2 linked regions of the Danio rerio genome follow. The protein of the gene in region 1 interacts with the protein of each later gene in a biochemical or structural test. Links are inferred from orthologs where the notes say so. Each region holds a gene or a part of one and is shown on either strand. Other genes may lie near its edges. The genes, in order: setd1a and wdr82.

Region 1 (4,484 bases):
TTTTCCATACTGTCCTGATTTAGAGCTGTAGTAATAAACTACAGTATTCCTATTTAAAGCAATGATATTTTCATTGCTTCAAACAAAATGTTTTTACTGAAGTAAATTATTTTAAAACACACTTAATTTTAGGTAGTTGCCAAGGTAACATTCAAAGTTTAGTTTAACTTTAGTTTACAGATGTTCTAAAATAGCTCAATTTAAAACTTGTAGATCAAATGAATGACAACTGTATATAGACAAAAAATTGAAAGACAACTAAATTTCTAAAACTTTAAACTGGAATTAAAATGAAAGCTGAATTGTAAGGCTGCTTATCTTGCTTAACAGTGCATCATATGTGAGAAAAAACAGGCTATGAATTAACATCCAAAATAAAGTACCATTAATCAGTCCTATAATATTGATGGTGATGCAAGCAACAACCGATTTTGTGGTGAAAGATGCATAAGAAACCAATGAGAAACAACATGTTTGAAGGATTCTGACCTCTCCAATATCCAACTTGTACACATGGAGTCTTTCTGGATGATGCTTGACTGGCATGAAACAAAATCTGTTTCCTTCATGTATCCGGAGGAGTCAACAAATACTCAGGTAACACAAAAATATAGAACCTATCTACAATATTAACTACTTTGTCTCGCATAATAATAGTGCGAAATACACTTCAATAACAAGAAATACCAGGAATTAAAATGTTGTTCAGTAAATGTTTTAGATTGTAGCAGCACCACCTACTGTTCAATAAAATGTAATGTGTCAACTAGCGAATAGCTTAAGAATAGAATAAAACGTATAAAAAATAAACAAACATTTACTCAAAATGTACTTTGTCCACGAACATGTGTCCTTTTTATGTAATATTTTATCTCCCTATCTATGCTACTATAGCATATGTGTTTATAAATATGTGAAAATGTGTTTATAAATATGTGCTACATTTTAACGAATTATTAAATATATTTAGCTATTTTGCTTTCAAATTCTCCATTCTAGTGGCTATTATGATATTTTGTGTTTCTGCACATAACTCCGAGTCTGCATATAATTTACTGTCATCTCCTTCTACTAAGTTTGTTGTTACTACTATTTACTAATTAAATATCGCTAATAATTTATTGTGCATGTGTTAAACAACCGCGAGGTATTGCTATTTTAATATAAAAAAATACTCTTTAAGCATACGCATATATCACATTCATAGCGTTATGAGGTAAAATGAAACATAGCAGCAGATTCGCCATAAAGCAATCTCGCTTGCAATGGTCAAATAATTTTGATGTCAAAAGACAGAAGCCAAGGAGAGAATATAACTCAATGTTAACATATATTACAATTTAGCTTTAAAAATATAACAAAGCACAATCTTTTTGAACACTTTAAGAACATTTATAGTAAATGCACAAGGTTCTGCATTCTGTGGAAAGTGCGTGTGCCATTACAACGGCTGATATTTCTAGTGACTGATGGCGAGCAGGCGAGGCACTCAGGTTAGTTACGCGATGGCTGCTTACTGTATTATGTTATTCTTTTTAACACACTTCATTTTCTGGCGGAATATAGTCACTTATTCCGCATCGATATTGCACCGGAATACAAGCGACCCCGTTTTAGTGCAGATTTAAGGCGCCTGTGTCAAAACGGAGCTAGATTTTAAAGTCCGGATTGTCTGTTTTCCCCGTCCGACACAGGCCTAGCTGTAGCGAGCTAGCGGCAGGCGAAGCGGGCAAACCTCCTCCAGACCCGCGCTCCGTTCTGTGAGTCTCTCGCCTCACCGAGTAGGAATATTTGTTTTTAGTATCGGAAATTGGTGTATATTCGTTTGCTAGAAGTTATTGGCACTTGAGCTGTACTCTGCTGTCACATCATTTTGAAGTTGAACTTTAGCTAGCTCCGCGCAGTGTGAGCGGCTAGCAGCTCCAGTGTTTATTATGTTAGCTTGTTGTTGTTGCTAGTCGATATGTCAGATGCCGTATATTAGGCCATACCTTTAGTGTATTTCTGTTTATTACGTTGTAATAGACAACCGCAAGTCGTGCTGTTTAATTTCCACGCACTATGCTGTTAATAGGACATTTTAATGTGAATAAGGCATCTCTGTCAGGCTCAGATGTAGTGGGGTTAGATCACCCTGTCAGTTTGACAAAAAATATTAGTCAGTATCTTACCCCACCCTTCATAAAGAGTCTGTTTGTGTTTTGTAAATGTATATAAGGGGACAGCATTTTATGTGTAATTTGTTTGGTATTCCAAATGGAGTTTTTCAGGATTAAAATGTGTGCTGCTCTTCTGCATGTGCACACTGTCAGTGTGGTTGTCTGCTTGTATTAATGACCCATAAGTTCAAATACAAAGCTTTTCTCATTACGACTTCAATATGAGTCGCCGAGCATCTGCACAACACCTCATTCTCCTCTCTGTGTCTGCAGTGATAGCATGGATCCGGACAGTGGGGCGGACACTCAGCGAACTCTCAGTCTGCAATGGAAAAGCTATAAGCTAGTACAAGACCCTGCCCTCCGGCGGGTTACTCAGAAAATCTACAGATATGATGGGATTCACTTTAGTGTTCCGGTATGGACCTGCACCAAATCAACTCATGATTCAGCCTATAATGCTGTACATTATGTGAAGTCTACATTCTGCTTGATTTTAGGATTCAGGATTTCCGCCTGTGGGGGACTTGCGTGATCCGAGACCCCGCAGAATCTGGTCAAGACACACAGAGCTGTCGCTGCCAGTGCCCAAATTTAAGGTATTCCTTTCTTTGTTTCTTTTGCCATGTCTCTTAGGATCTATGTTTCTGTGGGATTTTTGTGTTAAAATGCTTTTTCTTTTTTCTCACAGTTGGACGAGTATTACGTAGGCCCTATTCCGCTTAAGGAAGTGACGTTCGCAAGACTGAATGATAACATAAAGGAGCCGTTCCTGGCAGAAATGTGCGCCAAGTTTGGTGAGGTTGAGGAAATGGAGATTTTGTTTCATCCTAAGACACGGAAGCACTTGGGCTTGGCCCGCGTCCTCTTCACCAACACTAGAGGGGCCAAAGACACAGTCAAACACCTGCACAACACTTCTGTCATGGGAAACATTGTCCATGTCCAGCTGGATATCAAAGGTGGGCTTGCCTTTTCAGAGGACTTTCTGTGGTTATTAAGGGTGCTTTCACAACTGTAGATTGATTCTTTTGTTCCGAAACAGGGATTAAAACTATTACAGGGTTGCACTTTGTTAATGGTGCGGTTCGCTTTCACATGGCAAAGTTTCTAAACGGACCAAAATAGCTAAAACAAGTAATGCGTGAGTAAACTCTCCTCCCTTGGGTCAGTTTCATGGTTTATTTTGCAGAGTCCCGCTCAGCTGTCATGTGTCATTATTTTAATTTATGGTAGGGAGCAATAAGACATTATAAGTGACAAGCTGCACTTTAATTTTGAGCGGTGACACCCACAGACATCGTCACCAAATATAAATCAGAGGGGTAAGTCAATTTTCCTAACGGATAAATCGCTCTTGGTAATGCTTTCACTTTCGTATTTGATATGAAACGCTCATTTACTGGTAGGAATGACATCCCGTCCTACTCATAATTCTCTCTTCATATAGCTGTATATATACCTATTACATGTTCATAATACGCTTTGATATGGCCTGATACTTTGGTGCGTTGGATCGTTTTGCTTTTCTCACTACAATCTGTACGCTGCAGAGTTTGTTTAAATCGAGCTGAGACCACCTCATTAAGGTGATCTCGGACCAATGGTTTTGTTGTGGATCCGAGCATGATTGCTGGTTTCACATATGCCAAACGAACCGCGCTAACTGGGGAAATATGCCATGTTCCTTAACTAAAGTCTAAGTGTAAAAGCACCCTCAATTTCTTTAGTGCTCCATGAATGCAATTCAAATAGATTGGAGCCAGTGTGTGAGTGTGCTTTTAATATTTTAACACTTATTTTGCTAGGATGCAAAAAATTGGTCAAGCATGACTGTATATGCACAGTGTTGCAACAGATTTCTGTTAATTCAGTTGTTTTGAACTTTCTGTTAATTATACAATTACGATATTTTTTCCGGATACTATAATTATGGAAAGTTCAAAATACTAATTTAATGAACAGAAATCTTTTCTGTCATGCAGAACTGTTTCTTGAGCACCAAGTCAGCATTTTAAAATGATTTCTTAGTGGTCTGCCTTCAAAGTTTGAGCGATCTTAAGATTAAAATGTCTATAATTTTATATCTTGTTATGTTGACCTGATCAGGTTTCAGTTGGTTTTTAACAAAATAGTAGAATATGTCAGAAGCTCTCTGGGCATGAGCATTATCATTGCTTAAAGTATTGTTGCTTAATATGAATTGTCATCTGCATCTCTATTAGCACAACAAATTAGGGCTGGGCGATATGGCGAAAAAGCAATCTCGATTATTATTTTTCTTACTGAACCATAACGAGATACTTTCAGGTTTAAAAGAGTAAC
Region 2 (4,447 bases), on another chromosome or scaffold:
AAATTAAGGTATTATCTCCCAAACGGAAGATTCTGAACGGCCTGAAAAAAAGTCATCAGTAATTCCAGGTTTACTTCCTACATAACCCAACTACATAGGGTTGTAACTAATTTGTATGCCAGTTTATGGTCTTCATTGGCCGGTATGGTCTGTAAAAAAACATCTAATTTGACCCTCAATAACTGTAGTTATATCCGAGGTCTGAAAGTGTTTTGTGCAGCAAAGGCAAAAACACATTGTATGCACTGAAAGAAAATGTTCCTTTTGAACTTGAGGTGAATGCAAACTTAATGTACGAGACCTCCATAATAAATGATAAATGAAAAACTAACAGGACTGCTTTTACAAAAAAAAAAAAAAAAAAAAAAGTATTTTTTACCCCAAACGAGTGGAGAACAGCTCCTTTAAAAGCATCCAGCACTCTGAGTGTTCCTCCATTGGTGGAGACCAGAATGAGCTTTCCATCATTGCTGAACTTGAGACCCGTCCACTCACACGTCCGCTCATATTGCAGTTTAAATGTGGCAAATGGGCCCTGAGACAAGAATTTTTTTTACTTTTAAAACATCCAATATAACAGTACAGTTCTTTGAATGCAAATGTATAAAGTTACCTTATCAAAAGAGCGCAAATCATAAAGTTTGACCATCTCAGAATTCACTCCTGCAGCAAAAATCAACCCCTCGGGATCAAATGAGCACACAGGTTTCCCTTGCAGGTGCATGAGGCCCTGTGAACACAACCATGATTAGAATCAAGTACACACTAACAAGAAAAACATACCCAAATTAAAAAACAGCTTACTTGACAGTTAGGCGAGCGAAGGTCCCACAGACGAATGGTTTTGTCAAGGGAGCCAGAAATGAATGTGTCATCAACAGGGGACATAGACAGGGCGACAACCCTAGAATAGCATAAAACCCACACAAAAAGCCATATAACACCAATATTCAATTGTAAAAACAGGATGATAATTTAATGGCACAATTCCTCACCTTTTATTGTGTCCAGGAAAGTAGCGAATGTACTTATTGTCATGTAGAGACAGGTATCGTATAGTATCTGTGACAGCACAAATGTGTCAAAATATAACAACTAGAACAAGATTTTATTAGAAAAAATATAAACATGTACTGTATACCATGTCAGATGAGTGGGCTCAACCCTGGGCAAGGCAGTAGTCTGTACAGTTAGCTCCTTAACAGGGCAGAATAACAGACCCTAAAAACTGTACAAACAACTACCTCAACCCAGAACAGGCAAGGATAAACAGCCATACACAAATACCAGTAGTAAAGCTTAGGAAAAACCTGTTATTTAACTAATGTGTACAAGATTACATAGAAACGGATGCATACACTTATTATGAAAACATAATTATGAAAATGTAAGGTGAAAAATAACACTCATAACATTGAGAAATTTAATAAAACAAGTTAAAAAGGGCTCAGTGAATAAGCATTTCATCCCTAAAGCTTAAAATAATGGAATTTGCTGGGGGAAAAACAGCACGTTATCACACTAAGGTTTGGTAAAGAGTCCTACCGTCAATCTTGTTAGAGCTGTAGACGACTGTGTTGGCTGCATGGGTGTATCTGATGAGATCCACACCATACTTCTTACTGTAAAGCGTCCGTTTGGGTCTGATTTAAAGAGGGAAAAGGTTAATCTGGTTTATTAGATAAATAACATGCAAAAATTCATAACATAATTTGATTTTACAGTCAGGAGGCGGCCGATTATTTTAGGAGGCGTGGATGCTAACAGTTAGCACGCGTCTGTACATTAGATTCATTTCAGAGAATCAGTTTTTTCAAAGAGCTGATTTGAAAGAATCGGTTCAAGATATGGCGATTTTTTTTATGTCGCTACGTTACGAATGGTTAGGGTTTTAGAAAAGAAAATATAAGATAATGATTTAAAATAAACAACTAGACTCAAAACAAGAACATGGCTGCAAAAGGTTTTACTATAGCATATTTTTTTTCTTGCTTTCCAGTACAAACATCTAACGTTAAAGGTTCACACATCGATACACATTCACGAAGCAAACGAACAGTCTTGTTTTGAGAATTTGGTATTTAAAAATTAACAAAAAAGTGGTAATAGACTCAAAAAAGTCAAACAAAAACACTTAATCCAAATAAATAAGTCATGTTTCACCTTAAAATAAAATCTGTTCAAGTTCTCTCGCAAATTAAACGCATATCAAGTAAATGTATCAAGTTACATAACAACAAAGCAATAAAACAAAAAAGTTTTTTTAAATCTCAAATTTTGTTGCAGATAATTTTCAGCAGTTTTAAGACATAATACTAAATGAAGAACGGAAACAGCTAAAAAACGGAACGAAGCTCAGTGATTCAGTTCAAGTGATTCACTTGAAAGATCCGAATTACAAATAAGAGACCGCTAACTGTACACACAAACGCATTCAAAACACAACACTCGATATAAATAGGCAATAATTGTCACGATTAACATTATAGCAATAGATCTAGGTATTTATCCCATTTCAGTAACTTACATAAAACACAACAAACGCTGAATTAAAACGAAACAGTCAGTTGCAGGACAACCACATCGAATAAACTACAAGCGACTTACTTTCCTTCCTGGCAGTCGTACAAGACAATCGAGTCATCGTCGCTACTCGATATTACAGTTTCTCCATTTGAACTGAAGTCAAAGCAGTTTATTTTGTCGGAGTTCTCTCGGAAAACCTTCGCAACCCTGAAACTCCTCAGCACACTGTCTGTGAGCTTCATTGTGGCCTTTCTTGCCTGGCCAGGCGCGACGGGATCGTTTCGTTAAAACAGCGACAAGTTTGGGTTCTGGTTAAACAGTCTTGTGCGTTGCGAGTGTGTCGTGAAAATTTTGTTGACCGAAAATGGTTTTCAGATGTGTATTTCTGTCACATTAAAAAAGCCCGCCGACAGAACTGGTCAATGAACTGGATTACGAAAGACGAGATGAAGCTAGAACTAGCAAGGTGACTTACAAAATGGCCACCACCCCTGCGAATGTTTTCAGAATAAAAGTCCCATTACGATTTAGGCTGACGTTGAGGTTGGAAGGAAGTTTTTGTTGGTTAGGGTGATTTATTATACGCTCTGTATATTAACCTTCCATTACGTACACGAAAAACAACGAGGTTATTCTAGTAATTTAGTACTGAAATGACAGCTGTAACGAGGATGCAGAATTTCACATGAGTTCTCCATATACTGTTTTTCATTTCTAGCAAGGCTTACCCTTAATTTTTAGTAATTATGAAACCACATTTGCAGTTAATCATTATTACATTCAGTTTCCTTTACAATTTTTGAGTGTTTTTACAGTTAATTTCAAAGAGGATATTAATATCACACTACAAAATTACCTCTTCTTTCTCATATGACACATTCTGCACATAGACATCAATTCTAGCCTCACCCAGAACCCCAAACACAACCAGGGGTATAAAAGCAAGTACTGCATTGTTCTAAACAAAAACACAGAGAAAACCAGCATCAAACGTTTATGAACCATTAAAGTCTTTTTGTTTAGAAAAAGAACAGGATTAATTAATTGTCCTATGCTTTCTAACAAATCTACAATGGCAGGTGTTTCAAAGGTGAGTGTTGTTTAAAGTCTAGTTTGAACACCTCTGCAAACAATTTGTTAATGCTGTATGATTATTATAAATTAACCATAAGCTTGATTTTTTTTTTTCAAAGGGTGAAATTTGCACTGTTGGAGATATTTACGTATTAACAGTGAATGTAAGCGAGTTTGCACCGGAAGAAGTTATAGTAACCTCAACCAATAATGCAATACAAGTCTTTGCAGAAAAGGTAAGCAAAATAAACCTAAACATTTTGAAAAATTTTAAAGCTTAAACACATTAAACAAAAATATATTGTATTTACTCCTTTTGGTTTGTCTTTTTCAAATTTTCCCCTGACTTATGAATCAGTTGGCATCAGATGGCACAGTTTTGGACGTCATTCGACAGAAGTACCAATTTCCAGCTGATGTGGATCCAATGTCAGTTACATCGTTTCTAGGGAAAGGTGGATTGTTGATGATTAAAGCTCAAAAACACACAACAAAAAACTTGTGAACTATGGATTGAAACAAAGATGTGAAACCTGTTGCTTGGATGCTTATTATTTTAGAAAGGGTACTGTTTTCTTTGGTTTATTGAACAAAATGTTTTATACTTTAGCACAGATTTTTATTTTTGACTTTCTGAATATACACACATAAATCTGTGACTATCCTGAAATTACAAGCACATTCATTTATTGAGATGTCATTTTTATTTTTGGTCACTGTTTAAAATATTTGCACTTAACACTACTAAAATGTCTAATAAACATGTAAAAACTAAAAAACATTTATTTCCATATATAGCAGCATATTGCACATACAAATTTAGTCATATTAGAGTAGGAGTTATAGG

Evidence for each region.
Region 2: the proteins of setd1a (region 1) and wdr82 form a complex in vitro, tested with the Homo sapiens proteins (2 studies listed by BioGRID). The link is inferred for Danio rerio from reciprocal best matches to the Homo sapiens genes SETD1A and WDR82.

Annotation. Positions count from the first base shown.
Region 1 is NC_133178.1:31,526,757-31,531,240, forward strand, and holds the start of setd1a (histone-lysine N-methyltransferase SETD1A), read left to right. Parts: upstream 1-1,464; 5' UTR 1,465-1,760; intron 1,761-2,432; 5' UTR 2,433-2,439; coding exon 2,440-2,577; intron 2,578-2,659; coding exon 2,660-2,758; intron 2,759-2,850; coding exon 2,851-3,121; intron 3,122-4,484. UniProt on the Homo sapiens protein: Histone methyltransferase that catalyzes methyl group transfer from S-adenosyl-L-methionine to the epsilon-amino group of 'Lys-4' of histone H3 (H3K4) via a non-processive mechanism.
Region 2 is NC_133181.1:44,007,742-44,012,188, reverse strand, and holds the start of wdr82 (WD repeat-containing protein 82), read right to left. Parts: upstream 2,957-4,447; 5' UTR 2,769-2,956; coding exon 2,608-2,768; exon of another isoform or gene 2,431-2,607; intron 1,644-2,430; coding exon 1,546-1,643; intron 1,252-1,545; exon of another isoform or gene 1,169-1,251; intron 1,063-1,168; coding exon 996-1,062; intron 905-995; coding exon 805-904; intron 731-804; coding exon 614-730; intron 536-613; coding exon 380-535; intron 1-379. UniProt on the Homo sapiens protein: Regulatory component of the SET1/COMPASS complex implicated in the tethering of this complex to transcriptional start sites of active genes.